4 linked regions of the Pelodiscus sinensis genome follow. The protein of the gene in region 4 interacts with the protein of the main gene of each other region in a biochemical or structural test. Links are inferred from orthologs where the notes say so. Each region holds a gene or a part of one and is shown on either strand. Other genes may lie near its edges.

Evidence for each region.
Region 1: the proteins of RUNX1 (region 4) and FOS form a complex in vitro, tested with the Homo sapiens proteins (2 studies listed by BioGRID). The link is inferred for Pelodiscus sinensis from reciprocal best matches to the Homo sapiens genes RUNX1 and FOS.
Region 2: the proteins of RUNX1 (region 4) and ELF2 form a complex in vitro, tested with the Homo sapiens proteins (2 studies listed by BioGRID and IntAct). The link is inferred for Pelodiscus sinensis from reciprocal best matches to the Homo sapiens genes RUNX1 and ELF2.
Region 3: the proteins of RUNX1 (region 4) and DTX2 form a complex in vitro, tested with the Homo sapiens proteins (2 studies listed by BioGRID, with this or other methods). The link is inferred for Pelodiscus sinensis from reciprocal best matches to the Homo sapiens genes RUNX1 and DTX2.

What each region holds. Positions count from the first base shown.
Region 1 is NC_134714.1:43,955,578-43,962,797, forward strand, and holds the start of FOS (protein c-Fos), read right to left. Parts: upstream 3,022-7,220; 5' UTR 2,872-3,021; coding exon 2,731-2,871; intron 2,077-2,730; coding exon 1,831-2,076; intron 1,452-1,830; coding exon 1,344-1,451; intron 1,225-1,343; coding exon 595-1,224; 3' UTR 1-594. UniProt on the Homo sapiens protein: Nuclear phosphoprotein which forms a tight but non-covalently linked complex with the JUN/AP-1 transcription factor. In the heterodimer, FOS and JUN/AP-1 basic regions each seems to interact with symmetrical DNA half sites.
Region 2 is NC_134715.1:44,504,727-44,511,942, reverse strand, and holds the start of ELF2 (ETS-related transcription factor Elf-2), read right to left. Parts: upstream 3,005-7,216; 5' UTR 2,827-3,004; exon of another isoform or gene 2,743-2,826; intron 2,411-2,742; exon of another isoform or gene 2,390-2,410; intron 2,323-2,389; exon of another isoform or gene 1,954-2,322; intron 1-1,953. UniProt on the Homo sapiens protein: Isoform 1 transcriptionally activates the LYN and BLK promoters and acts synergistically with RUNX1 to transactivate the BLK promoter. Isoform 2 may function in repression of RUNX1-mediated transactivation.
Region 3 is NC_134731.1:15,621,532-15,629,099, reverse strand, and holds the start of DTX2 (putative E3 ubiquitin-protein ligase DTX2), read right to left. Parts: upstream 3,022-7,568; 5' UTR 2,947-3,021; intron 2,307-2,946; 5' UTR 2,243-2,306; intron 1-2,242. UniProt on the Homo sapiens protein: Regulator of Notch signaling, a signaling pathway involved in cell-cell communications that regulates a broad spectrum of cell-fate determinations.
Region 4 is NC_134711.1:184,931,466-184,939,068, reverse strand, and holds the start of RUNX1 (runt-related transcription factor 1), read left to right. Parts: upstream 1-4,584; 5' UTR 4,585-4,599; coding exon 4,600-4,658; intron 4,659-7,603.

The sequences.
Region 1 (7,220 bases), on a different chromosome or scaffold from region 4:
GAGAACTACAGTACATGGATATAGCTATTTATCTCTATCTACTAGAAAATGATATATTGTCTCTTTCCCAGTTAAGATGGGTCATTGCTAAAGTCATCAGAACACGATATTGCCAGGAACACAGTAGTTATTGTTAAATCAGCTGCACTAGATACGAGTTGGAGATACCCAGCACCAGGTTAAATTCCAATCATTAAACCAATAGATTAATTAATGCTAGTGAATACTAAGTAGGGAAAAGAAATCACCAACCCAGCCATGTTGGACATGCTACAGACTACCAGCTCTCATGGATGGGTCACTGGGGACAAGACAAACTCCATGCGATTTGCTACATCTCTGGAAGAGGTCTGAGGCCTGGCTGCAGATCATTCTGCAGGGTCCTTTAGCACCGGACCGGCCTACGCAAGCCCAGGGGGAAGGACGCTTTGCCCTCCCCTAATCTGGGGTGTCGGGCTGCAGGAACCCCCCCAGGAAGAAGGTGGATCCTTTGTGGTGAAAGGCCCCCCACACACATACAGCAGCAGATGGGAGGCTCGGGATCCGCTGTGTTCACCCCTCGCCCTGCAGTCAGTGCCCTGGAGCTAAGGCCCCTCACAAAGCCAGCAGGGTAGGGGAGCTGAGCGAGTCGGAGGAGGGCTCGTTGCTACTGCTGCCCTTCCTGTGCGCGGCCGCACAGCTGGGGAAGGAGTCGGCCTCGGGGTAGGTGAAGACGAAAGTAGAGGTGTAAGTGCTGGGGCAGGGGGTGCAGGTCACCACTGGGGTGCAGAGCGGCTCCAGCTCCCCGCACGCCCCGGCCGCCAGGGGCTCCCAGTCTGCCGCATAGAAGGATGAGGAGCCGGCTAAGTCCATATCGGGCACAGAGCGGGCAGTCTCCCGGGACGCGTGCGGGAAGAGGAATTCATCGAAGGGCTCGGGCTTCAGCTCCAGGCCGCTGCTTCCTTTGGGAGGCTCCGGCAGGGGCTCGGGCTGAGCGGCCTCCTGTATCATGGGCAGAGCGAAGGCGGCCTCCTCGGACTCTGGGGAGCTGGGCACAGGCGCCTCGCTCAGGCCGCTCAGGTCCAGCGAGGAGACAGCGAGCTCCTCGGAGAACTGCAGCTCCTCCGGGATCTTGCAGGCTGGTCGGTGCGCAGCCAGGATGAACTGGAGCTTCTCCTTCTCCTTCAGCAGGTTAGCGATCTCGGTCTGCAGCGCCGACTTCTCCTCCTCCAGCTGATCGGTCTCCTGCGGGCACAGCGAGAGGGGAATGAGACAGAGTCGCAGGCGTGCCCGGTGCCCCCTAGGGGCGCACAGGTGCTCGGTGCGCGGCTTGTGGTAGGGGTCGGAGGCGGAGGAGAACTTACCGCTTGCAGCGTGTCTGTCAGTTCTCGCCTCCGGTTGCGGCACTTAGCTGCTGCCATTTTGTTCCTTTCCCTCCGGATCCTCCTCTTTTCCTCTTCCTCTGGGGACAGCTAAGGAGAGAGAACGAGCACGGTTAGAATCCGCTGCCACCCCACGCCGGTGAGCCCTGGCTGCCTCACCACCGCCAGGCCAAGCTCCCCTTCCGGGTCTCTCCCGCCTAAGCCATGTTAAGGTGCTCATAGACTGCGTCTAACAGGCATGCCAAGGAAGGTTCTGAGCAGGAGAACCAAGCGAACTCCAGCTCCTCGGACAGTCCTATTGGCGCTGAGCCGGGTTATCCCTCAGCTATTCACCCTTCCCATTCAGTGCAACTGATAGGTCAGTGTCTTCTGCTGAGCGGCTCTCGAAGAGCCGTCAGAATTGCCCTTCCCCTTCTATCCCCCTGCCCAGATGCTACCTAGGGACGATCGCAGAGGGCTGTGTACTCACCTGTTCGATTTTGCCCCTTCTTCCAATGCTTTGCCCTCTGCCTCCTGCGCTTTTGACAATTCCAGCTCTCGAATAGGCGCTGGCTGGAGGAGTAGGGACCCCGTAGAGATGGGCCCGGTTCTGGGAGGGTGCCACTGAAGAGATTAAGGTGGGCTGTACCATCCATTGCAGATCTGGACTGGTAGAGATGGCAGTCACTGTGGGTACGAAGTTGGCACTTGAGACAGCTAGGTCCGTGCAGAAATCCTGAAGACACAGAGAATTGATATTAGTAACAGAAGCCTAGGCCTGGATGAGGAGGAACCCCCTCTCCCCGTCCTGCACCCCCTCACCAGGCATATCAGACACAGTGACCCAGAGGCTTAGTTCTGTGCTATTTTGAGCCAGGCCTTCAGCCCCCGGAGCTAGGCAGGCTCAAGCGCTGCGCTACCATCATCAGACTCCACATGAAAAGGGGGTTTGTTATAAATATCCCTGACGTCTGCACTGACGCAGGCGCCGCTCCGGAGTCTCCTCAATGAACTCTCGTTTTATCAATGAAACCGCTTTACACACCCGCCGCAGAGCGGAGCCTGGGCCACAATCCCTCTTCCCTGTTGCAGGGACCAGACAGTGGCCTCCCCCACATCTCAGAGTAGCCTTCCCTCCCCCCCCCCCCCGCACACACACACTAACTCTCCAGGACAGGGAGCTAGACTGCTGCCTCCTTCTCTCCCATGCACAGGCACCGAGGAGAAGAGGTGCGCCCAGTGCAGGACAGACCCTTCCTGATGCGGGCTATCTCTGCACCTGAGTTGCCCCGTCTGTCACTGTGCGATGTTTGGAGGCGCAGACTGCTCCCCCTGCCCGCAGCAGTTACTGCCCCGGGGGCCGTCACCAGCCAGAGTCCCGGTCCCTCACCTGCTGGTTGACAGGCGAGCCCATGCTGGAAAAGGAATCCGCCGGGGAAGTGTAGTAGGTGAGGCTGTCCCCGGCCGGAGAAGCGCTGCTGCAGCGGGAGGAAGACGCGTCATAGTCGGTGGTGAAGCCTTGGTACATCATATCGTCTAGGCTAGGATTGTCCAAACCCCGTTTAGGCGGTGAGGCTGTCCCGGTTGACTGTGTGTCTGTCCGGGCCGACTATCCCTCTGTCCGGATTGTCTGTCCCCAGCCGTATCTCTCGTCCCTTTCCCGGCTCAGTCACTCAGATTAGCTCTGCTGCTGGAGTAGAGTGCGGAGCCCCACCTTTTAAACCCTCCTTTGTGAATGAAGCCTATGTCGTCACTGGCAGACCCAACATCTGTGGGAGGGGGGACGGCGGGATGCTCCGCCTCTAAGCTTTCACCACAACTTCCGCCTCCCTCTCCCATCTTTTACGTAATCCAGTGGGCTCGCCACTCCATGTCAAGGTGGTTACCCTGAGAATTTTCAAGGGGTCTGAGCCGCTCAGGGTCAGGAAGGGCTGCTGGTGTTCCCCCTTCCATAATGGTACAGTCCCAGCTCGGGAACCCACTGACGCAGATATCCTTATATGGGATACATCCTGTGCAAGGGGGTGTGACTGACGGGAACCGCTCCAGGCTGCAGCCAAGTGAGGAGCGCGAGTGTGTGTGTGTGTGTGTGTGTGAGAGAGAGAGAGAGAGCGAGAGAGCGAGCGCTTGGGCTATGTAGGCAGATTGCAGGTCCTCTTGTTGAGGCCAAACTCAGGTTCAAGTCCCTGCTGCAATAGCGTCCCACCCCCACAAGGAGAATCACGTTCGGTTAGTTAGAAACCTCCACAGAGTTCATTCACCTTTAAGGCCCAAAGGTGACTTTTTCAGCCCTTCTGCTATCTGCACCTGCTTCCTCTTACTCAGCCCCGTTCAAATAGTTCTAAACAAGTTCGATTGCAGCTATATTACCACATGATATTAAACTTGCTTTTCACTTTACATACACGTCTGAAGACAAGGTCCCTGACCAGACGGACTCAGCTGTTAACAAACAAAATACAGAGGAAGGTTGGGAAAAGGATAATAGGGGCAGCTTGGGAAAAGCAGTGTAAGTAAGCAGCAGAAATAGAAGGCCAGTCTTGTTAGTTTCATTATCTTTTTTTATTGTTGATTTTTTTTTAAATATCATAAGGCTTTCCTAATACCTTTTAAAGGTAGATGGAAAACAATAAATGTCTTTGCTATTATTTAGGGAAGAAGGATTGTGCTGTTTTGTTGGTTGTTAGAATAACTTTTAAATTATAGCTTAGCTGTAAAAGAGCTGTTGATCATGAAGAAATGAACAGTTGTGTTGGGGGGGTTGTTTTGTTTTTGAGAAGCCTGTATTTTATGTTGTACTTTTTATCCAGCATATTTAAGTATCTGGTGTTGTCCTATCTTATCTAATATTTCTAAATTAATATGTGCATTCTATATAATAAGCCTGTTAATTGTATACAAAGTGTCATAAAGTAAGTAGATTTCTTGTTATTTGCTGTGTAGTACTGCCCTTGCAGGGAGTCAGGTACTGTGCATTTCACTTTAGGATATTGTAAAGTATTTGGAGAAAAGTTAATCACATTTTTGTTCACCTTTAAAATGCTTTTATATAATGAAAACTTGCAGCTGGAGGAACTGCCTTTATAAATCATAGAATCAAAGAATCATGGGACTGGAAGGGACCTCGAGAGGTCATCGAGTCCAGCCCCCCGCCCTCAAGGCAGGACCAAGCTCCGTCTACACCATCCCTGACAGATGTCTGTCTAACCTGTTCTTAAATATCTCCAGAGAGGGAGATTCCACCACCTCCCTTGGCAATTTATTCCAATATTTGACCACCCTGACAGTTAGGAATTTTTTCCTAATGTCCAATCTAAACCTCCCCTGCTCCATTTTAAGCCCATTACTCCTTGTCTTGTCCTCAGAAACCAAGAGGATCAAAGTTTCTCCTTCCTCCTTGTGACATCCTTTTAGATATTTGAAAATCACTATCATGTCCCCCCTTAATCTTCTTTTTTCCAAACTAAGCAAGCCCAGTTCATGAAGCCTGGCTTCATAGGTCATGTTCTCTAGACCTTTAATCATTCTTGTCGCTCTTCTCTGTACTCTTTCCAATTTCTCCACATCTTTCTTGAAATGTGGCGCCCAGAACCGGACACAGTACTCCAGCTGAGGCCTAACTAGTGCAGAGTAGAGCGGCAGAATGACTTCACGAGTTTTGCTTACAACACACCTGTTGATACAACCTAGAATCATATTTGCTTTTTTTACAACAGCATCACACTGTTGACTCATATTCAACTTGTGGTCCACTATGACCCCTAGATCCCTTTCCGCCATGCTCCTTCCTAGACAGTCGCTTCCCATCTTGTATGTATGGAACTGATTTTTCCTTCCTAAGTGGAGCACTTTGCATTTCTCTTTATTAAACTTCATCCTGTTTACCTCTGACCATTTCTCTAACTTGCTACGGTCATTTTGAATTATGTCCCTATCCTCCAAAGAAGTTGCAACCCCACCCAGTTTGGTATCATATGCAAACTTAATAAGCGTACTCTCTATCCCAATATCTATGTCATTGATGAAGATATTGAACAGTACGGGTCCCAAAACAGACCTTGCGGAACTCCACTTGTCGTCCCTTTCCAGCAGGATTTAGCACCGTTAACAACAACTCTCTGACTACGGTTATCCAGCCAATTATGCACCCACCTTATCGTGGCCCTATCTAAGTTATATTTGCCTAGTTTATCAATAAGAATATCATGCGAGACCGTATCAAATGCCTTACTAAAGTCTACGTATATGACATCCACCGCTTCTCCCTTATCCACAAGGCTCGTTATCCTATTAAAGAAAGCTATCAGATTAGTTTGGCATGACTTGTTCTTCACAAACTCATTTTCTGCATTTTGCTTTATATGCACTGCAAAAAGAGCTGTGTTATCTAGTGGTTATCAGTGCAGTCACCCTTATCCAAAACCTATTGAAGTCAATAGTGAGGCTCCCATTAACTTGAATGTACTTTGGAACCTACCGATATCATGGGCCATTTTCCCAATCCATCCAGAATATATCATTTCACTTGCAGAAATTTGAATGGCAATTATACCTGTTTGTGTCCAAGAAAAGGTGCAAGTTATATCTACTTTGTGAACATAGATTGTATCCCTTTTATTTTTTCTTAAAACAATATTTATTATACAAGACCCAACAAACTTAACTAAAAACTAAATAAAAAATGATGCGGTGTATACTGGGTGTTATGGAGCAGTTACTCACTAAAGAAACACACGTATTTTATTGTAAATAAGTCCGGATCCCTGGCATAGAACTCTTTCTGGCTATACTTTGGGACTGGAATATTACAGAATGTACATGTGGAAAATATAACCGCCTCCATTTCCTGCATTGGGGAAAATGTTACACTCCTGTGCAATTATTATTCCTGTTATTAAATATGTAGAATAATAGCTGGGAATATAGTGAATAATGGGCACAGGGAGGAGTCGTTAGTTAAAGTCCACCCTGTGCTTTGAAGGAGGACAGTGCCACAGGGGAGGCTATTGTTATTTACTGGGCACTGAACTTCCTAAAAAAGCTGTATACAAACAGTAATGAGAGGGAATTGTTGAGATATGCCCTGTGCCATGGTATGTAGATAGGGGGCTGCTTGCCTGGGAGACTGCCAAGCAGCGGTGGTTTCAGGCAGAGGAGTTTTCTCCTTTCCCAGAGTTTGGATTTGCTGTAACTCTCGTGGCAATGAAGTTCGGAGACACCCACCCACAGTGGGGATGTCAGGCAGCCCAGGCTCAGGTCAGGCCAAGTCAGGAGGAGCCAGACCGCAGACTCGCCTGGCACGGGAGACAAGAGATCGCATAGCTATACATAGTAACAGGGAAGCTGCAGCGCTGAGTCTGTTTACAGCAACAAACAGAGCCTCGGGCGCAGTCTCCAAGCAGGGAACGTCACAAGATCCAGGCTGGGATGATCCTGCTGGCAGCAGCTCCTGCTGCCTGAGCTCATGGGCTAAATGCAGCGCTTGATGCTGCTGCGCGGTCACCTCCATTCTTAGAGATCTGGGCCACGGGGGCGGAGGAACCGGGCCAGCGGCTATGTCAGATCACCAATACTGGCGGTCGCCCCCCCTCCCCCGGGGCGGCGCGGGGAGCCTCTCTGATCTCTTCTGCAACTCCTGCCCCAGGATAGTCTTGCTCTCTCCCTGCCCTGGGACTGGGCTGCCCCAGCTACAGGGTAGCCAGAAACTTGCTGCGATTCTGGATTACTACCCCAGTTGTGCTGGTAGATGTTCTGGCTTCTTTCAGGCAGATTTCGGAGCTGGAAATCTTAGTCTTAGTTCCATCTAGTGTAGAGAGCTATGGCATGGGCAGAACTGTGCCTAGCAAAGTGAGGCTGAACATAGTTGCAGACTGAGTTCTG
Region 2 (7,216 bases), on a different chromosome or scaffold from region 4:
TTTATTTGAGCATAAACTTTCATGGGTATAATCCACTTTGTCAGATGTAGCTAGTACTTAGACGTCAGTAGTTAAAAATCCTCATGGTTCAGCGCTTAAGATCTCTATCACCTGTACAAATCTTGTGCATCAGTATTTACTATTATTACTGCATGTTTTTGTATACAAGTCACTAATCCCTTTCTGAATTCTGCTAAACTCTTGGCCTTTGTTATGTTGTGTGGCAGTAAATTTCACAGATTAATTGTATATTATGTGAAACTGTTTCCTTTTAACAGTTTTGAGTTTCTCACTTTTCAATTTCATTGAATGTCCTGTGGCTCTTAATTTCTTAGATAGGGTTAATCAAACTCCACCTACACTTTTGGCTATTCATTATTTTTATGTTTTTATCATGTCCCTCACATCTCCATGCTAAGGAAAATAATCCCAGTCTTTTCAATTTTTATAAGATTTTTTCCATTCATTGACTCAAACTTTCTCTAACCCCACCCCCAAATTCAGCAATATCCTTTTATACTGATCTTGAGGTTGCTTTGGCATCTATCGTGTGGTTTTAAATGGCCACATCATATCATTTAGGCCTATATTGTTTAGAGTAAAAAAATACTTCACCATTACAATATTGTTTCAAAGCTGTTTTCTGTATTTCAGATTTCCACATACAGAATGCCTACATTTGTGTCAACCCTTATTTCATGTTCTTTGTCTTGGCTAATTATAATAGTAGCATAGAACTTTGACATTTTGTGTGCATCAAGAAATACATAAGAATGTTATCCAATTTTACTGTAGCACTGATAATTATAGTAAATTTCAATTCTGAATCATACGTAGCATATATTTAAAAATTTGGACTACTGGATGACATAACAGGAACATATACAGTGTATCCTCTGGAAACAAGTAGTATTCCACAAAAATAAGGCTCTTTTGACTACTTTAAAGGCTGTTGTTGCTGTTCTTGTTAAAGTGGTAAAATAGTTAAAGACTACTGGTGGAGGATAGGGTACTGACTAATGATAAGGAGGGAACCAGAAAGAGGAAATGAAGAATTAACTGAATAAAAACTGTAAAGGGGCTAGTAGTTAAAAACAAATACCAAAACTGATAAATTTTAATATTTTACAAAATATCAATATGAAAGTTTTACATAAGAGTTAAAAAAAAGAAAAGTCTTAGAAATGAATAATGATAGTTAAATATTGCTATTTTTAAATAATGTTAAAATAACAGAAAAGGATTTGGAAAGTGAAGGTGGCAGAACTTTTTTTTTTTTTTAAGCAAACTTGGGTAAAGGCTACCAGCTAACCAACTATCATAGGCAAGCTTAGGCTCCCATGTTACTTGGCCCATCCTGTGTAACTAAACAGGAGAACGTTTCTGTAATATTTTCTAATGCCCTCTCAAGTTACCATACAAATATGTAAAGTTCATATTTATCCATCAGAGGTTCTGCTTCTGGACTGACAAGTAACATGAAGAAACATGGAATAGGTATTTTCCTGAAAGCAGGAAACTAAACACATGAAGTTTCCTGAGGCTATGTTTATACTACAGCTGAAGAGAACTGCCATCATGTCTGGCTGGGAATCTCCCCTCCCATTCCAGGATCTGAGCCCTCTGGTCCCTAACATATCTGCGTTTACAGATCATCTAAGCGACAGGACGGGAAACCCCTTGAATCACCATAAAACCAAGCAAGACTCATCAAAGAGCTAGATCAGCATAAGAACTAAGTCAGAGGGAAACACAGCCTCGATGGGCTCAGTTACTGGGATCCCAATCTAGCCTCCTTCCCTGGAAAACATTCGTGTGTGGACTGCAGGCTGATTCACACCGTTGTTCTCAACAGGCATAAAAATACTTCCAAGCCACCAACTCCCTCCGCCCAGCAGGCACGCACACACGGTTGAAAAAACTGACTCCCAGAACTAGTAACACACAACCCACCGCTACTCATCACAGCCACGACGGCAGGCAAAAGTGGTTGTCAGCCCCTCTGCCTGACCCTTCCCCCAGGCGCTCCACGCAAGGCCGAGCGGGGAAGCAGGCAAGCGAAATACACACGAAACTGAAAGTGCAGGCGGCGGCGGCGGCGGCGAGGGATGGCGGCGGGGTAACGCCGACGGCGCATTCGCCAAGGACCGATTCAAACTGCTCCATTTCAGTCCGCCCGGGTGCAAAGCTCCGCGATGGCCTCGGGCAACCGGCACGGAGACAGCCCCGGGCGGGGGAGGCTGCAGCTCACCCCTGCTCTCCGGAGACGTCTCCCTCCAGCCTGTTTGTTTGCATAGCACCAAAGTGCGCCAGCCCAGCAAGTTCCCCTGCCGGCGCGGCGCTGCGCTCCCCCTCCCCTGGCTGACAGCCCGTCCGCGGCGGTAAATACCTACAGCACCTGCCCCCGCGCCATCTCCTCTTGCTCCGGCTGTGGGAGGACGCCGCGCCGCTGCCCCTGGGAGCGCTGCCCGGACAGGTCCTTGCTCCTGCCCAGGACACGCGCCCGTGGCTGGGGGGGGGGGGGGATCCGGAGGATAAAAACACCGGCGGGGCTAAGCACATCCCAGCCGGCCCCGGAGCGGGCGAGGTAACACCCCAGCCCCGCGGGAGGGGGCCGCCGAGAGACAGCGCCGGGGACACCACCTGACCCGGCCCCTCCATCCCGCCCGCCGTCAGCCCGCTCCGGCCCGCCACGCGGGGGGGGGGGGGGAACCCGCCCGGCCGCCCCCAGGCCGGACTCACCCCGAGTCCCTGCTGCCAGGCGCGCGCAGGATCCGGCCCCCTGGCGCACCCGGGGCGGAGGCAGCGACACCCCTTCTCGGCTACCTTGTCCGTGTGTCAGGGGCAGGCGTCGCGTCACCCCGCCTGCCCTAGGCCGAGAAGCGCCCGCCGCCAACGCCGCCGCCCGGAGAGACTGAGCCGGGGCCTCCCCAGCAGTAGCAGCCGCCCCGGGGGGGCGGGAGGGGGCTTGGCCAGTGTAACAGCACAATCTGCCCTGCCTCAGAGCGTGCCCCTGTCCCTTCTGCACATGCTCGCACTCCGAGCGGGCCCAGCGGGCATGCGCGCGGCGCCCGCACATGCCCACTGGCGACGGGAAGCTGCTGCCCTCACTCTGCCCTTTGGCTCGCGAGGGCTGCTCGCGCTGGCCAAGGGAACGCCCGCCGCGCGCCGGGCAGCCGAGCCGGGGGAGGAGCAGGCGGGAGGGATGGAGGAGCGAGCGCCCCGAGCATGGGTCCAGCAGCAGCAGCTCGTGGGAGTGACTGGCGGGTGAGTGACTGGGGAGGGGAACAGATCAGGGGAGTGGGGGCGAAGGAGCAAATAGGGGCCGAGTCGGGGTAGGTGTAAAGCGGTGTGGATTGGAAGGAGGAGCAACAGATCGACTTGGGGGAAGGAGGCAGCTTGAGCAGCAGATCACGGTGCTGGAGCAAAAACTTGGAGGAGAGAGGAAGACAGAGAAACAGAGCGGGGGGTCCGAGGGGATGGAGGCAGAGAGAGCGGGCTTGTAGGATAGTGAAGCAGCTTTTGAAGAATCTGGACGATCAGTGGGATGCAAAGATGGGTGACCAGGTGTAGGTTAAGGGAGGGAGGAGGAGCAAAGCGGAGAGAATATAAGGCTAATAAAAGGGCTTCATTGGATTTGGATTGTCATCCGTGGAATGGAATCTTAGATTGACTGAATAAAACTAGAATACAAGTATTCAGTATCTTCAAATATGTTTGAGTGGTTTTGTCAGTACTGAGATTAATTGTGTATCGATGTCCATGTTTTCCCCTTTCGATTTTCCAGACTGAGGTATGATTTCTGTGTGGAAAATGTTATGATCGATGTTGTCTAGATGTATCAGTTAAAATATAACCAAGGGTCTCGCTTTCAAGTGATTTTCAAAATAGTTTTTGCTGTGGATTTTTTATTTTTGTATTTCAATTCTTATTTGTTATTATTTATATTAGTGATGTTTTTAGTCGTATGTTTTCTCTCTTACTTTGGAAAAAGGAGGGCTAGTACTGTAAGACATTTTTAAATGTTAGTAAATATCTATCAACATGTTAATAGATCATAAATAATCCTGCTGAGGAAGTACTTTGACTTTTCCTTCCTTTTTTTTTCCAGAGGTCATCAGTACATGTTTTGTTCTAGTAATATGTAATATTATAACATGTGCTGTTGTTTCTGTGTTTTGCATATCTGCTTTCTGTAATAGTGTCATATTTATTGAGAAGAACTGTTAAAATGTAATTACATCAATGTACAATGAAAAAAATGAAAGATTTGTATGGGGTCTAAAACTCTGATGCATGAGTACCCAGATATCTGTAAAAACTAATTTTTGCTAAAATAAAATAATGATCCTTACTGTCAGTAGCAGCTGTCATTTTCACAATAGAGGCTGTATATTAATAGCCCAATCACTATTCATGCTTTTAACAATGAAAATAGTAAAAACACTTTCAGTGATAGTTTCTGTAAACATAGCTGCATCCAATAGTGACTACCTGCACTCCATATATGTTTGCAGGATTGGAGCTTACTTTGCTATAGGATGACACAGTAACTATGTTCAGGTTTTTTAGCATTCAGACTAAAAAAGAGTGAGATTTTTTGGTCAACAGCTCTTATTGGAAAACTCCCAACTTTCTCTTCTCTTCCCTTTTTCACTTTAAACAAGGCTACAGAACTTAGAGTTGGTGATTAGTTTTCCCTTTTTTTTCCTGTGGTGTACACTGATTAGACTTTATCCTGGATAATTTTCTATGTTCTAACCAAGGGGGGAAATTAGATCTTGGTGGAGTAGTATGATATAAAATTATTGCATTAAGACCCTTGTAGAGATTCCCTCACAGAATTTCCCCATATCATTCAGGCAAGGAAGGGGAGATTCCCATCATCTATAGAAAAGGTTGTAGAGCTGTCTCTGAGCCTGTAGGTTTCTCAGGATCCAGAGCATGCCTCCACACCTTGGCATTTCTGAAAACCAGGACACTTTCATGTAAGTATCTAAAAATGGATTTGAAAAACTTGGTCTCACATAATGAGTGAAATGACATATGTGAGAATAAGAGAAATGAACACATGAGGTTATATATGTAGTAAGATGAGAGCCTGAAATATAAGCCCATGAATCACAGGCCTGATATGAGGCCTAGCTAACAATGGTCAAGACTTTGCTCACAGCTTAGTTTTATATTAGCAATGGATTGGCCCCTGCTTCTGTCAGTATCACACAGAGCTGATAGTGTTTTACACTAATTAGTAATAGGCACAGCTGTAAAACAGTAATTGGTACTGCCATGGATTGAAAGCACATTCCAGAAGGATGGTAAAAAAGGATCTTTGTACCCATGCATTTCCCACAGTAACAGGGACATACAGACTCCAGTTCAGAAAAGGGTCTAAAATGACAGCATGATGGAGAGAGCTGTTTTGATTGAGCCACCAGATGCAGAGTGATGGATGATGTCTAGGTAACATCAGAGTGATGTGTAACTTGTTTGTAGCTGTATATAAAGTTGCTTGAATGGCCTGTCTTTGGCCTAGGAGGGAGTAGTACCTCCCACTGACTAATCTGGTCCATTGTCAGGGGGTATATATGTGTAGTAAAGCTTCAGGGGGTAGCTGAGTTAGTCTGTACAGGATAAACTTAAAAAGCAACAAATGGTATGCTAGCACTTTATAGACTAACAAAACATGTACATGGTATCATGAGCTTTTGTGGGCACAGTCCAGTGGGCTGCCCAGACTCCTTTGATCTTTATCTGATTGTGTGGTCTTTGGGGATTCTTTTGGAGTCTGCTGTATTGACTACTTGCACAAAGTCAACACAACACATGGGAGGAGCACACACACACGCATGCAGCCAAACAGTTATCATCGACAGAGAAGGAGACCTGTCAGGATACCACATCACTCGCTCCTGACTACCACACTATCCTTGAAAATCTTCTCTGGTAACATTTTTTATATGTAAAAAAAATCTCTAAAAAAAATGTAAAACTATTAATAAGTGCAAATAAATGATCATATATGTTTATTTCTGAAAATGAAGTCATACACACAATGTAGACACATTCTCATGTAGTAAGAGTTCCTTTTGAAATAGTTATGTTAAAAATATCTTACCAGATAACAGGTAGTGTCTGTTGAAAGTCCATTCAAGTTTTCTACAAATATAAAATATATCACAAGATTATTAGAGTAATCCAAATGTATAAGACATTTATTATCCCCTCAGTGATGTGGCATGGAAATTCTTGGCTTTCATACTAATGTGTATCAGGAGTAACTACACTGAAGTCAGTGAGTTACATTGGTATAAAGTAGGGATGTAAAATCCCATTTAATTGATTAACCTGTTAAAAAGAGGGGGCCTCTTCAGCCCAGCTGGAGTGCCCTCCCTGTGCACAGCAGGCCCTTAGCATAAAACAGCTGTAAGGTCTAGATTGACTCTTCTGTTTGCAAACATTTAACTTCATCTGTGCTAAAATACCATAGTGTTAGCTGTGATAGAATAGAATAGAAATTTATGTGCAGATTATACATACAAAACTGTTAAAAGAAAGTTATTAAGTATAAAGCATAAATAAGACCGTGCAACTTTAATTCAGCCTCCTTGTGTGTTTGCAATATGATACAGTCTTTAATTACATTATCACATACTATGTTTTCCACGGGTCCCTTCCCTCACCCTAGCTTCTTTTCCCAATCCCATTATCCTAACCTAGCAAGTCCCAATCTATACTGATCAGCCTTCTCATCCCAATCTCGGTCTCCTTGCCCTACCAGTCCCAGTTTTCCTCGCCTATGCCAACCTCCAGCCCCAGTTGCTACACTTCAAGCTCCTTTTCTCTAACTCCTACCATCACTAGCCTCCCACATGTCCAGTTCTTGCACTATCTGCATTCTAATCCAGCAGTTTTCTCCTTCACATTGTGTAAGCATTAATGGGGGATGATCTTTGGGAGCACAGAAGAGATGGGCTTCTTGCTCTTACTTCAGGTACATGAACCTTCAGCTGTAACTACAAGAAAATCCTGCTCACCCTCAAGCAGCAGCATGCCTAGTGTGGATGGCATCTTCAGGGGTTTTAGCTGTTAAAATCTAAGGCCCAGATCCTCAACGATATGCCTAATTCATCTTTATTTCAATGGTAGTTAGACCCAGATCCTTAAAAGTATTTAGGCGCCTATTGATTTTTTTCCCCCAAAGGCTTGTAAATTG
Region 3 (7,568 bases), on a different chromosome or scaffold from region 4:
GGAGCTGAACACATTCAGCACCTCGTAGGATCAGACCCTTAGTCAGGAAGGTTTGCACTGAAGAAACAATGTCAACTCAAGACTGGCCAACCCTCCTTATACACAAGTTTATATGTACCCAATGCCCACAGAAATGCTTCCATTCCTTTATTTTCATTCCAATGGCAAAGGTTTTTAACACAGATATTTCAGGAGACTGTTCAAATGCAAAACAAGAAACAATTGCTTTTAAGCAAACAGTCTCCTGGGGGGGAAGGGTTTCCAATGAGCTCCTGAAAGTGAAACTGAATAAAAGCCAAAAAGTGAAACTTAGCTCAACCAGTATTTAGTGCCCAGGCCAAGAGAATCACAAAAAACAATCAGCACAAACAGCTAAAAGAAAATTAGATTTTCATCACAAGTTCCATTTTAGTGAATCAAATGCTCTTTGTAACATAGGTAAGAGACTCTGGTTGGAAATATTAAGAAGCCGTCAGCATCCTTTTAAAGAATCAGGCTCAGAAATTACTGTTTATATGGTAGAGCCATAGAAAGAGCACAACTAGTGAGAAAGAGGGATGTGGTGGTTAGGGCACTATCCTGACACTTAGGAGATGCGGGCTCAATTCCTTTCTCTGACACAGACCCCATGCACGACCCTGGGAAAGTTACCCTCTCTGTTCCTCAGCAGTATCATGGGGATAATACAACAAGGAGTCAGTCATATGGAATGTTAAAGACTAACAGATTTATTAGGGCATCAGCTTTCATGGGTAAAACCCAATTCATCAGATGAATTGGAATGGAAATTACAGAGGCAGGGGTGTGTGTGTGTAGCTATATATAGAAAGAAGGAAGTTACTTATCAAGTGGAAGACCAGCATTAATGAGGCAAAATCAGTCAAGATGGATGTGGCTCACTCACAGCAGTGAAAATGGGACTGTGACACTTTTGAAAAGTTAACCCCAAGTCAAAACTAATCTAACCCCTCTCATTTCCCTAAAAGGCAGCTTCCACTGAACTTCTTCCAAGTAGCTGAGCAAAGTGTTTTAAAAGATGCAAGATTAAAAACATCTTTAGGGCCTAAACATGTCATAACTTGAGAGAATGAAAATAAACTGAGCTCATAAGGGGTCACCATCAGCTTCAAATCCCATCAGTCAGAAAGAGCTTTTTACAAGGAACGAGCAAAGGCTGGGCCACACACGCTCTCTCTCTCTCTCTCTCTGATGATTTCATTAAGTCAGCACAAACCCTCTGCAAGCTAAATTCACATCCGCCTCACAATGTGGATATCAGCTTATGAGGTGTTGACTGTAAGTTATCTTGCAAGGAAGCTGCACAGATTTGGTTCAGCCTGGGCAATTTCCAGGTATGGACCGGGCCGTAGCGGAAAGATGACACACACAACCGGCTTAGCTTCAGCCGTCACAAACCCAAGCATGGGTCAGGCAAAGCTATGACCTACACAAGTGCAGCTTACCCCATTCCAAACAACTGCCCACATGATGCAGCTTTGCCCATCCCTGGAGTTTGCACTGGTGCAGCTATCTTCTGTTTTTACTGGTTGTGCATTGAGGGCACCTTGTGCACAGTTTCCAGACTTTCCCTGTTGTATGTGGGTTTTTTTTTTTTTTCACACAGCAATGGGGGAGGGCGAAACATTTTTAAAAATAGGAGCATGTGATTTTTAACCCACACACATTGGCAGGAAGTCTTGGGCAGGTGTGTGATCTGAAACTATTACTCATTTTTTTTAAAAACCAACTATCTTTAATTAGTGCCACTTTCAACTCTGGTAATAGTTATTTGGGAATGAACTAAGTGGGCTGAGTCTCCCCATGCACTTTAGGAGGTGTCTGCCACTAGCACCTGCCAGAGACCAGGGTCATATGGGAGTGGAGACAACAGATTTTGAAAATGAAAGCAGTGATGCTGAATTGGACACCCCCCTCTGCAAGGGGGAATAACTGACAGATGGTTTGCAAAGGTGGGTGTGCCACGCTAGAGAGGGCTGAAAATGGCAGCCACTCACCGTTGTGTAGTGAGGGAGATAGAGGGGATACTATAGTATCCCAGCTGGGCACTGCAAGGAGGGGCAATGAGAGCCCCAGAGCTGGACAACCCTGTCAGATCAGAGGGAATGGGGTGACTGAGGCAGGGAAGAAAAAAAATTATGGATACCAAAGTGGAAGTTACATTTCCAGGTCACACAGAGTGCACATGCGAAGCACCCCCCAGAATAATGAGAAATGACCAAACCTGAGGAGTGGTCCAAGTGCTAGGCACAGACAAGTCGCCTGAATTTGCAGCGATGCACTTCTCGCTAGGAAAAGGAAGAAACGAAGGGAGCCAGTTACTCCCGGCCAAACCACGAGGGGAACCCCAAGTTACACCGCCCATCACCTCCTATCACCTGACAGAGATACCCCCAGCCAGCAGACTTTGGTTAGCTCCCCTCCCCCCCACAACACACACCTCGGATTCTCCCAGTGACCAGACCTCACGGTCCCACCCCCCAACTCCAGACCCAGACCCCTTGGCCACCCCCCCAGAACCACACCCCCCAGTCACCCCCTGTTTCCCACTGCTCCCCGGGGCCAGATCCCACGGTCACCCCCTCTCGCCCCAGGCCTGACCCACGGTCACTCCCCTGCCCCTCGGGCCAGACCCCACGGTCACACACACACCCTGGGCTAGACCCCACGGTCACTCCCCCCAGGTCCAGACCCCACGGTCACTCCCTCTCCCCCCCCCCGACCCAAACCCAGACCCCACGTCACACTCTCTTCTCCCCCGCCCCCACCCAGACCCCCCCCAGCCACGGTCACACCCCCCTGACTCCCACACCCAGACCCCACGGTCACACCCTCTTGCCCCCCGACCAGACCCCAGTCACCCCTCCCCCACGCCCAGAGCCCACAGTCACCCCCCCGCGCCGTTCAGAGGCCCGGGGCGCCCCTCACCGTGACGCCGGGCGCCGCTCCGGCCAGCGCCGGGCAGGAGACAGCAAGAGCTACTGAGGGCAGCGCCTTCCTTCCCAGCGGAGACAGCAGGCCCAGCGCGCATGCTCCCTCCGCGCGGGGCAACCTGGGACTTGTAGTCCTGGCCGGCTTCCCCCCGTTCCGCCTCTAACTTGGACTTTCCCTGCCCCGGACTCAGCAGCAGTCACCGGCCCGGGCCTCTAGGGGGCTGCCCCAGCTCCGCCCCACCCCAGCTTTAGGAGTTTTACTGGGGGTCCCCATAACCCCCTAGTGCTGGGGTCTGCACTTCCAGGCCCCCTCCTGCCACTCCATGTCCCAGCCCAGCTGCTGCTTCTCATGCCCTTTGCTCTGGCGGTGCAAGAGCCTTCTCCTATGCATCCCCTGCCACCCCCAACAGCTTCCCCAGCCCCCCCTCTGCCCTCCGGCTCATGAACTCGCTGTCTCCTTTCAGATCGTCTCTGAGAGCCCCTGGCCCACACCTCTCATTGCCACAAGGAGAGGGCAATGACATCTGTCCAGCTGCACTTTGAGAGAGAGGCTGGATGGAAGCTGCTATCCCACATGGAATCTGATTCCATTGTATTATCGTGGCGTAACAATGGAAACAATCTGTTACAGAGACTAGTGAGGCAGGAGAATGCCCTTCAAAGATGGTTATTTTATGATCTAAGGCTTCCAGCACAGAAAACATAGAGAATCTAGGGGGTTTTTAAATTGTACATTAGTTGTCAGTAACCTGGTGTTTTAAAGAAGATTTACGCATTTAGATTAATCCACAATCCCTGTTAAATTTTCTGTGCTCTTAGCGCTTTAGCCCTCTGACATCAAACAGGCTTTATAGGTCTGAAGCAGAAACAGGGGCAGCTTCAATACCTATATCTGATGAACACTAATCGTTACATTTTTCTCTGTGGGTGACACAGGCAGGATTATGGAAGCAGCACAAAGGAAGAGAATTACCTGGAGGATTAAAGAGCCTTTCTGTTCCCCGCCTTGAAGACAAGCTGCAAAGAGAGAAAAAGATTTGGGCCTCCAATGGAAAATGGGAAAGCTTAGGGCGGTGATGATTATCAGTTTCTCCCCTGCAAAAATCAGGATCCGCTATAAAAGACTACATGAATTATTTTCAGGTAACAGTCCTACACAGGTAGAGGGAGCAGAGGGCAACCTGGCTTTGCTTTCCCCCCTTTCCCAGACTTTGGTAGTTTTTATTATGATGCCTTTTGTTGAAATCTTGTATCTGACCAGAGGGAGATTGGTATGGTTGCTTAGCAATTGATTTATAGCTCTAGCTCTCTTCCATGCCTTTGAACTGCTTTGGTTGCTCTTTTCTATGGAATTTGGGAGGGTCAGATTCTGATCTCAGTAACAGGGATGGAGGGTTTAAATGTTTAACAGATTTACCAAGGATGCACATGTGGCAGTAAGTTTGCGAGCTAAAAAACATAATAATGGCCATACTAGGTCAGACCAATGGTCCATCTAGCCCAGGTCTCTAACCTTGATCTACACCAGAAACTACGGGGGGAATGAACAAAACAGGGCAATTTTCAGGTGATTTATCCCGTCGTCTACTCCCAGCTTCTGGCAGTCGGGCTTTGTCTACATTGTATAGTTTTTGTGCAAAAAGCCTCTTGCACAAAAACTTATAGCGCAAAAGTGCGTCCACACCTCAAAGCGCATTGCTTTTGCGATGCGCTTTTGCACAAGAGAGCGTCCACTCTGCATGGATGCTCTTACACAAGAAAGCTCTGATGGCCATTCACAGAATGGCCATCAGAGCACCCGTGCTTTTTCAGATAGGCTCTTTTTGCACAAGAAACCCCTGCGGAGCGTCCACACATGCCTTTTTGCGCAAGAGCTGTAGCGCAAAAAGGAGTTATGCCTCGTAGAAGGAAGTATACCTAAACCGCAAAAAGCCCTCTTCTGTCGATTGACTGTAGCTTTTCTTGCGCAAAAACACGCTTGAGGTGTGGACGTGCCATGGGTTTTTGCACAAAAACCTTGTAGTATAGACATAGCCTCAGAGGTTAGGGACACCCAGATCTTTACAACATCCTTTGGCAGTGAGTTCCACAGGTTGACTGTATGTTGTACTTCCTTATAGTTGTTCTAAACCTCCTGCCTATTAATTTCAGTTGGTGACCTCTGGTTCTTGCATTATTAGAAGTGCTAAATAACACTTTCCTATTAACTTTCTTCACATCAGTCATGATTTTATATGTCATTGCCATATCTCCCCCCTTAGCAATCTCTTTGCTAAGCTCCAGTCTTAAGGAGGCTCTTGGTCAAAACTGAGGTGCATTGGCTGAACTGTGTGTGGAGGATGGTTGGGCCCATGTTTTGGAGGCTCTGGGGATGCTCTGTGGTGACATGGCCGGATGGAATGGTATCATAATACTCTGACATCATAAATGTAGCTCTTGCCAAATCCCCAAACTGTTCTTTGTAGCCATGTTAAATGAAGCAATTTGAATCCATCTTGGTAGTAAAGATAAGATTCTCCTTGGACAAACTCTAATCGATTTTGCTTGTGTGTGTCTACAAAGATCCTGGAGGCTCAAACCCTCTTCAGACTGCCTGCTACCAGCATGCCCTACAGCAGTGCTACTCAATATGCGGCCCACGAGTGGGATCCTTTGAACATGGACTCCACTGGGAACACGCTCCACAACGGCGAATCAATGGAATGGTCTTCTGTTGAGATGCATTTTAGTAGTTACATTCCGGGACTGTCATTGCTCATTAAAAGTGCTGTCATATGGGTGGAAATGTGGTAAATATTGCATTTTATTAATAGCAGCAGAACTGACTTAAATGGGACCTGCGTGTTGTGTAGTTTTGCCTTTGTATTCATTCTGGTCATTGTGAAAAAAGCTATTTGCATATATTTGCATATATATTTGCATGTATATGCAACCACACTTAAGTTGCGGCCCTCGGCATGTGCTGGGAGTACCATTGTGGCCCCCGCCAGGGCTTCCAAAGTTGAGTAGACCTGGCCTACGGATCACCACGCCTCACTTTGTATCTGCCTTTGCACTTTGGCTGGGCAATTTGCATTCCAGACTGAGGCTGCACTGAGCAGAGTCCAGCCAATCCATTTGTCAATCCCAGCAGCTGTAAGGCGTTAGCTCTGCATACCAGGGCCATGTTTACAGACCTTACAATGGGTCGTCTCAAAGCCACTTTCACAGAGGAAGACGAGAAGTAGCATCTGCAGAAAATAAGCCCTGCCTTTGGGGGTCAGCAGAAGCGGGTGTGGGAGCAGGGTGAGAGCTGCTTTTGTGCAGACAGGCCTCCCTTCTGTGTGCTACTGAGACATGATCTTGCTCCCAGAGCCCTATCAGAGTGCTAGAGGGTATTTCATAGACTCATAGAATACTAGGACTGGAAGGGACCTTGAGAGGTCATCAAGTCCAGTCCCCTGCCCTCATGGCAGGACCCAGTACTGTCTAGACCATCCCTGATAGACATTTATCTAACCTAGTCTTAAATATCTCCAGAGATGGAGATTCCACAATCTCCCTGGGCAATTTATTCCAGTGTCTGACTACCCTGACAGTTAGGAACTTTTTCCTAATGTCCAACCTAAACCTCCCTTGCTGCAGTTTAAGCCCATTGCTTCTTGTTCTATCCTCAGAGGCCAAGATGAACAGGTTTTCTCCCTCCTCCTTATGACACCCTTTTAGATACCTGAAAACTGCTATCATGTCCCCCCTCAATCTTCTCTTTTCTAAACTAAACAAACCCAATTCTTTCAGCCTTCCCTCATAGGTCATGTTCTCTAGACCTTTAATCATTCTTGTTGCTCTTCTCTGGACCCTCTCCAATTTCTCCACATCTTTCTTGAAATGCGGTGCCCAGAACTGGACACAATACTCCAACTGAGGCCTAACCAGCGCAAAATAGGGTGGAAGAATGACTTCTCGTGTCTTGCTCACAACACACCTGTTAATGCATCCCAGAATCCTGTTTGCTTTTTTTGCAACAGCATCACACTGCTGACTCATATTCAGCTTGTGGTCCACGATAACCCCTAGATCCCTTTCTGCCGTACTCCTTCCTAGACAGTCGCTTCCCATTCTGTATGTACATAATATGTCTTCATTGACTCCCAGGCATAAAGTATCCAGGTAAAACAGCCAGCCACACAATATCGGAGCACAAAAGACTCAACGATTCCTTTGTATGAGAGAATTGCCTAGGGGCCCTGCTTGGGACCCAGTCCCCACTGGGCTAGGTGCTGTACAAACACAATCAGAGACGGTCCCTGCCTCGAAGAGCTGAGCCTCTCCAGGATCATAGAATCATAGAATCCCAGGGCTGGCAGAGACCTCAGAAGTTCTTGAGTCCATCCCCCTGCCCAAAGCAGGACCAACCCAACTCAATCATCCAAGCCAAGGCGCTATCAAGCCAGGACTTAAAAACCTCTAAGGATGGAGATTCCACCATGTCCCTAGGGAACCCATCCCAGTGCTTCCCCACCGGCCTAGAGAAATCGTTTTTCCTAAGATCCAACCTAGACCTTCCCCACTGTAACTTGAGACCATTGCTCCTCGTTCTGCCATCTGCCACCACTGAGAACAGCCTCTCTCCATCCT
Region 4 (7,603 bases):
TCATGAGTGGTTGGCTTGTGGTCTGCAGAAAAGTCTGTGTTGAGCGGGGTGGGCCACAGGCCAAAAAGTTTGAGAACCACTAACCTAGATGGATGTAATGTCCATGAGTGTGTCTGTATTAATACAACAGCAAGAGTGGCATAGGAGGAAAGGCCATGGTGAAAGAGGGGTTAGAAAAAGGTCTGATTTCTAAAAACTAGCTTCGCTTTCCTCAAGTTTCATGCACCTTGCACTGCAGTCGTGCACCTGGCATCCCTATTACACATTCCTGCATCCTAACTCTCCCCAACTCACCTGTGCTGTCGGAAGGCTACACGCTGCCTTCTACTCCCCCTCTAGGCCACCAGAAACTGCAACTGCTGTCTCTGAGCTGGCAGCCCTGTGCCTCCTTTCTTCCTGCTCCCTCCACAGACTCCCAGCCCACAAGGAGCACCAGTGACAGCCAGCGGAGAAAGCAGTGGGGGCAAGAGCAATCCATGGAGAGGGGCTCCACACTAATGGCTCCCTGATTCTTCTGCCCACAGTCACCTGCTCCAGGCGTCCCCATTGCAAACCTCTGACCACAGGAACAGCTCTGTATTAGCCCCTTGCCCCAGCATCCCAAGGCCTTCTTCTTCCTGAAAATCCATTTACCCCGGAACAACCTTTCACCCTGGTGTCAACAGCCCCAGCAGCTCCCCTTGCTCCACTACCCCCACCTTGCCAGGGTCCCCAAGCTGACCCAAGCTGAGTACCTCCACTCAGAGCCAGTAAGTTCTGTGCAGCTTCATTTCCTAGTAGGGATGTAAGCGACTAGTTGAGTAGTCGACTAACAGATAAGCCTAGGCTTCTTGGTTAGTTGAGTTGATGATTCAAGTACTCACATCCTTCCCTTCCCCCCGCCCCCCTCTTCCAGGCACCACCACCTTCCACTGCCTCTGTATCACAGGCAGCAAAGGGGTGGGAAGCAGGAGCCAGTGCTGGCAGGAGCTAGCTTAAAAAGCGAGGGATGGGGAAATTGCCATGTACAGAAGATTGTCCATGGCAGCCTGGGCTGGCCGCAGGCAGAAGATTCTCCGGCAATAGCTTCTGTCCGCAGAGGGTCCAGCTCTGTGCTGGGGTCCCCCATGGACAGGGGCTGCTGGACCCAGAATGAGTCGTGACTGAGCAAGCCTAGCTCTTACTAGATTTAAACTGCAGAGTCTCATTGGGTATGTCTACACTACAGCACTAATTCGAAATAACTTAATTCGAATTAGTTAATTCAAACTAAGCTAATTTGAACTAGTGCACCTAGACCTAAAAACTAGTTCGAATTAGCGTTTTGCTAATTCGAACTAGCATGTCCACATTGAGTGGACCCTGAACCGGGGTTAAGGATGGCCGGAAGCAGCGCTGGCAGGGCATCAGATTAGGACTTAGAGCGTGGAGCTGCTGTCTCAGGCTAGCCGAGGGCTGTGCTTAAAGGGACCCGACCCCCACCCTGGACAGACAGTTCTCAGGGTTCCTCTCTCACTTGTCTAACTTGATGAGGGACAGCAAAGCAGTCCTGGCTTGGAGTGCCCTGAGTGCCCACACTCGGCACATCACAGCACTGGGCCATCAGACCAGCTGCACTTGCCGCAGGCTGCCATCCGGGGAGGGGGGTCAATCAGGGGCCTGCAGAAGAGCTTCCACCCTGAGGAGCCCGCAGAGCCACCCCAGTCCTCCCCATCAGGGGCTCGTACCCCATTCCTCCCTCACCTCCTGCCACTTACCCCTCCCTAGCCCCCCTTCCTGATATACAAAATAAAGAACACGTGTGTTCAAAAATAGAAACTCTCTTTACTTTAACAAAACTCGGGGAGACTGGGAAAAGGAGGTGGGAGAGGGGAAGAGAGAGGGTGGGAGAGGGGAGGGCAACTAAAATGATCAGGGGTTTGGAACAGGTCCCATATGAAGAGAGGCTAAAGAGACTGGGACTTCTCAGCTTAGAAAGTAGGAAACTAAGGGGGGATATGATAGAGGATATAAACTGAGGGGGGATATAAAAGCACGAGTGGTGTGGAAAGGGTGCATAAAGAAAAGTTCTTCATTAGTTCCCATAATAGAAGGACTAGAGGACACCAAATGAAATGAATGGGTAGCAGGCTTCAAACTAATAACTGAAAGTTCTTCTTCACAAAGCAAATAGTCAATCTGTGGAACTCCTTGCTGCAGGAGGCTGTGAAGGCTAGAACTGTAACAGAGTTTAAAGAGAAGTGAGATAAAGTCATGGAGGTTGTGTCCATGGAGTGCTATTAGCCAGGGGGTAGAAATGGTGTCCCTGGCCTCTGTTTGTGGAAGGCTGGAGATGGATGGCACGAGACAAATGGCTTGGTCATTGTCTTCGGTCCATCCCCTCCGGGGTAGCTGGTGTTGGCCGCTGTCAGCAGACAAGCTACTGGGCTAGATGGACCTTTGGTGCTCAGAGTCGGGGGTCTCACTGGACCACCTTGATTTTCATGCAAGCCTGCTCCTGGGTGGCCAGGCTCGAGCCGTGCCAGGTACAGGGTCTGCTGGCTGGGTGCTGGAAGGCTTGCACCTGGCACGGGCACCGTAGCCAGTCCATGCCCCTTTAAGGGCTCTGGGGCCGGGAGGGGGGCAGAAGAGTTTCCCTGGTGGTGCCCAGAGTGGCCACCAGGGAAAGCTGGGGCGGGCTAGCCTCCCACTAGTTCGAATTAAGTGGCTACACAGCCCTTAATTAGAACTACTTAATTCAAACTAGGCGTTAGTCCCCATGGAATGAGGTTTACCTAGTGCGAATTAAGCGCTCCGCTAGTTCGAATTAAGTTCGAACTAGCGGTTTGTATGTGTAGCGCCTATTAATGTTAATTCGTTCTAACGTCTGTTAGTTCGAATTAACTTTGTAGTGTAGACATACCCATTGGGAGTAGCTCCCGGACCCAACACAAACAGGGACAGAGCGCCTTCCCTTATTGACTAATCATGTAGTCAATAACAATTCTATCGTCTACACGATTATTAAAATACCCACGTCTTAACATTCCTATTTGCTACTCCTGTTGCTTTTTGGGGTAACGAGTGTTGACTATACATTTAAGATTATGGTTGTATGTACAGTATTTGCAAATACAGAAAAAGCTCAGAGTTACAAGCACCAGACCATTTAACCACAGACTTCATCTAGAACCAGAAGGATGCAATCATGCAGCAGCAGAAAGGGGGAAAAAACAGAGTAATGTAAACTACTAAAAAAAGGGGAGGAGTTTAAAAATTGATAGGGAAAGGAAACTGTCTGAGTGCTTGTTTCATTTAAATTAAACAAGCACAGAAACAGTTAAAAGCAGCATTGGTTAAAGCAGCAGATGGTGAAAAGCAGCATTCTTCTTCTGCATAGTAAAGTTTCAGAGAGGTATTATATTCAACTGTAAACTTTTGAAAGAACCAGCATAACGTTTTGTTCAGCATTACAACCAGCCTCCATTCCCGAGGTGTTTGTAACTCTGAGGTTCTGCTGTATGTAAAGTGGATCATTAGATTGTTTGTACAAAATGTCCTCCATGGTGTGGCACAAAAGTAGCTAGCTGTGCATCTCTCTCAGTGAAGAGGGTTGGAAACTCCCTCAATGAGTAATTCTGGAAGCAATTCTGTTGTGTCACCTTTTCATCCAATGCAGAATATTTGTGGTGTTAGCTATTCACTATATTTTTGGTGCACGATTATGAAAGTGAGGGAGAGAAAAAGGAATGAAAACACAAAATTTGTCATTGAACTCTTCATCTGGCCTTACAAGATGAATTTAAGGAATTTGACACCCTGGGAGACTCATGGAAAAAATCAGTATTTTTAATGTTTATGTTTTATTATTATTTATTTTATGTATTTGTTTAATTTTTACAGAGAGACATTAACTGTCTTTCCTTATCTAATTCATTTTGCTTGCCCATGCACAGCTATGAAAAGCTTATAATAGAAATATTTTTGTATGTATGTAGTGGAAAATGCCAATTTAAACAGGATGTTTGAGATCAGAAGGACTGACCCAGAATCTGTGCTGGGACAGACATGAAAGCATAAAAATTTCATTCACAAAGGTTTTCTGGGGCCACTTTTTTTTTAAAGCCTAAACAGAGTCACGCACATGCTGGCTCGGAAGCTCCCACAGTGTTTCCAGAGCCGAGCTGATTGCTTTCAAAGTTATGCAGAGCTACATCCTCAATGGACAGCAGCCATGAACAGGACTGGGAACAATTACCAGCTGACGGAGAAGTTCGTCGGCAGTGGGTACACTTTTGCCAGCTACTACCCTTGGATGGCCCAGGGAGAAAGAGGCAGAGTCAATTCCACGCCTACTTGTTTCCTTTCCCGTCTTTCGCCACAGTTTCAACTGATTTTGATTACTCTGGCGCCAAATAAATGAAAGCATCTCATAGACATATAATCATCCATCACTGTGAAGAAAGGAAAAATGCTTATGTACGGCATGTTTATAAATACACTTATATGAAGAAAGGATAGCTCTGTCGTTTTTAATCTCGTGCTGCTGGGTAGCTAGCTGAATGTCATCAGGGCAAGCTGCCTGTTTTATTTTTTCTTTAGTCCTGACATGGTCTTAGGGGCACACTAGTGGAGCTTGTGATGATAGGAATTGAGAGATCTGTCCCCTCCACAGTTCTAAAGGTTAGTGCTGATTGGAGGTAAGTGATCGGAGGCTTTTGAAAGCAGGAGTCAAGTGTGTTCCATGCATATATATTGTAACAGGACCACATCAAAGGGAAAAGGGACTCTTAACAGATTTAGTCTGAATAATGTTGTACAGCCCAGGGTAATAAAATGATTCCATCGGGGAGTTGAGTCAATACCAAGAGAAGAGGAGCAATAGAAGTGACAGCTAGTATGCCCTTTGCATGTGTGTGTGTGTGTGTGTGTGAGATATGTAGGCATTACTTCATACGTTATGTGCTAATATTCCTTGTAAAAGCATGCAAATCTTTTTGACTATTTGGCTACAATAGAAAAGCTGTTTATAGAACATGACATTATTGCTACTTTTGGTTTGCACTGCACGGAAGAATGTCTTTTTTAACAAGCGCAGCATTTTTAAGGCAACTCTTGAGATATTATTTCCTGAAAAAAGAAAAGAAAATACTCTTTTCCATGTTGTGTGCTGAAAATAGAAGAAAATAGCATGAAAATATTATCAGACCATGTAAATTTAGCTTTTTGACCCTCATTCATTGTATGTCATATCAACAGATCTGCTGATATGCTGCTATTTGCATTTGACTTGGACACACAAACACTAGCAAAATGTTTGCCCTTTGTAAACTATTGTCTGTGCTTGGCTTCATAGAAATCATTAATGCAAAACTTCTCTTCATCTGAATCTCCAAAAAACATTGAGTGGGAGAGAAAAGCTTTCAGTAAAATGGCTGAAATGCTGTGGCAAAAATGTGATAGTACGATTGTTTTGTGTCCAAATGTAGGTATAATCAAATTGCACCACATTGTGTTGCATGGGAAGGGCAGAAAACAGAAAGAAAGGCTAATTTGATTATACAGACTACTTCTGAATTGCTAACCCTTGGCAGTAACTTCCTAAAAAGAGGGAGAGTAGTAGGCAAAGTCCTTAGCCCTTTTGACCCCACATGTAGGTCATCTCTTTATTATGGCACAGAGAATATTGTTAATACTTAAATTATTTTTTATATAAGCATTACATAACTAATGCAGCATGGCCAATGGTCATAACCTTTTTGTGAGTCTTGGTGTTTTTCAGAAAGCCCCAAATCCTGAAGACAAATGATGATATGAGAATCTCAGTCTTTTATTTAAAATTAGCTCCAAAAGGAAGTTTCTAGCACCTATGACTGCAGAAAAAAATTGAAAACATGTTCCAGTGTAATCTTAAAGCTCAAAATCCTGAACATAAGCTAAATTAATCAATCAAATTAAAAGAACTTCAAATTTATTTTAAAGATGCTCTCATGCATTTTGGGGGCCTGACTCATGATCTCTGAATGGAACAGGGTTTGCAACACTATCAACAGAACAATAGTCAGAGCTGGATGTTGACTGCAGTCTAGAGCTATGTCTTCCAAAATGGAGGATGACCTTTGCTTCCTACAACTTCACCTACATTCTTACACAACTATAACTCCTTCTCCCACTGGTGGCAGCTAACAGACTTCACTGGCTATGAGGGGGGGCAGAGTAAATTGCATGCTTTAAATGGTATTATTAAATTAGTTTTCCAACATCACTACTGCCACTGCTACCACCATCTCTGTAAATGAGAGGGATAATTGGTCTTTGATGCAGGATGCTTCCTAGCTCACTCCATACCACCCCTTGCATCCAGCTAAGCATGCTTAACAGCCATAATTTAACTCTACAAGGCTATTTTCTTCCTTATTCCTACAAATGAAAGAAGGGGAAATGGAATGTATCCTAGATATAATTGCTATTTGCATATGTGCCCTAAAGAGTTAAAACAAAGCTTCTCCAATCTGGTGTGAGTGCAACAGCATAGTTACATAAACCACACCTGCATTCCCACACTGGACATATGGATCTGGTGAGCAAAGTAAAATATTACCTTAACAGACATTTTCATAATGAGTCTGATCTGCATCTAATTTAAACCAGACAATTATTTAAAAAAAAGTAAATGGGGATTGTCTTTTACTTGCAGGATTAGACCAAAGTGAGTGTTATTCACATATTCCTCAACTTAGACAATTTCATGGCTATTTTCCAGTCTCTCATACTGAGTCATAACTATCTAGCCACTCCTCTTGGCTTACTAGCTACTGTACTGACTGAGCCAGTATCTCAGTGGCAATTCTTACATGATTGCCTCAGGCCAGTCTTCCAGGATATATACTGTTTTATCCCTGAGTACCTTTTAGTAGAGGTCAGAAGGCTGTCGGCCCTTTCATAGATTTACTCGAGTGACGTTACAGCAACACAATTTAAGACTCAAGTGGTCTAATTAAAAACAAGAAAAAAAGAAAAATAAGCTTAAAACAGACAAAAAAGTCCTTCTCACATATCTAGTCCTTTACTCGGCAAGACTGAAGCTATGAAAAACAGACATGAAGTGGACTTGTGGTTAAGACAATAAATCGTGTCTCAGGGTTTAGGGGTTTGGTTCCAGACTCCTGTGAGACTTTAGGCAAATCACTTAACCTTTCTGCCTCCGTTTCCCATTTGTAAAATTGAAATAATTTCTTGTCTGTCTTGTCTATTTAGATTGTGGCTCTTTAAGAGGGGGATTCTTGCATACCGTGTGTTTGTACAGTGCTTAGCACAATAGGGCTGTGGTCTGGGATAGCACCCCTATACTCTACGATAATACAAATAATAAATGAGCAGTAGTGGATCTTGGTTTAATTGTAGAAGTACAAAACTGTCACTTTACCAGAGGGCTCCCTGCCTTTCTCCTGTGACCTCTTCAGTACTCCAGTTTGTCTGAGGCTATGACTACACAGCAGTGTTATTTCAAGATAACTGACATTATTCCTAAATAACAACGTCCATGTCTACTGTACAAGCAGTTATTTTGACATAATGTCAAAAGAATGTCAAACTGGAGGACTTCTTACTCCGACTTCTGTAACCTGCATTTTACAAGGAGTCA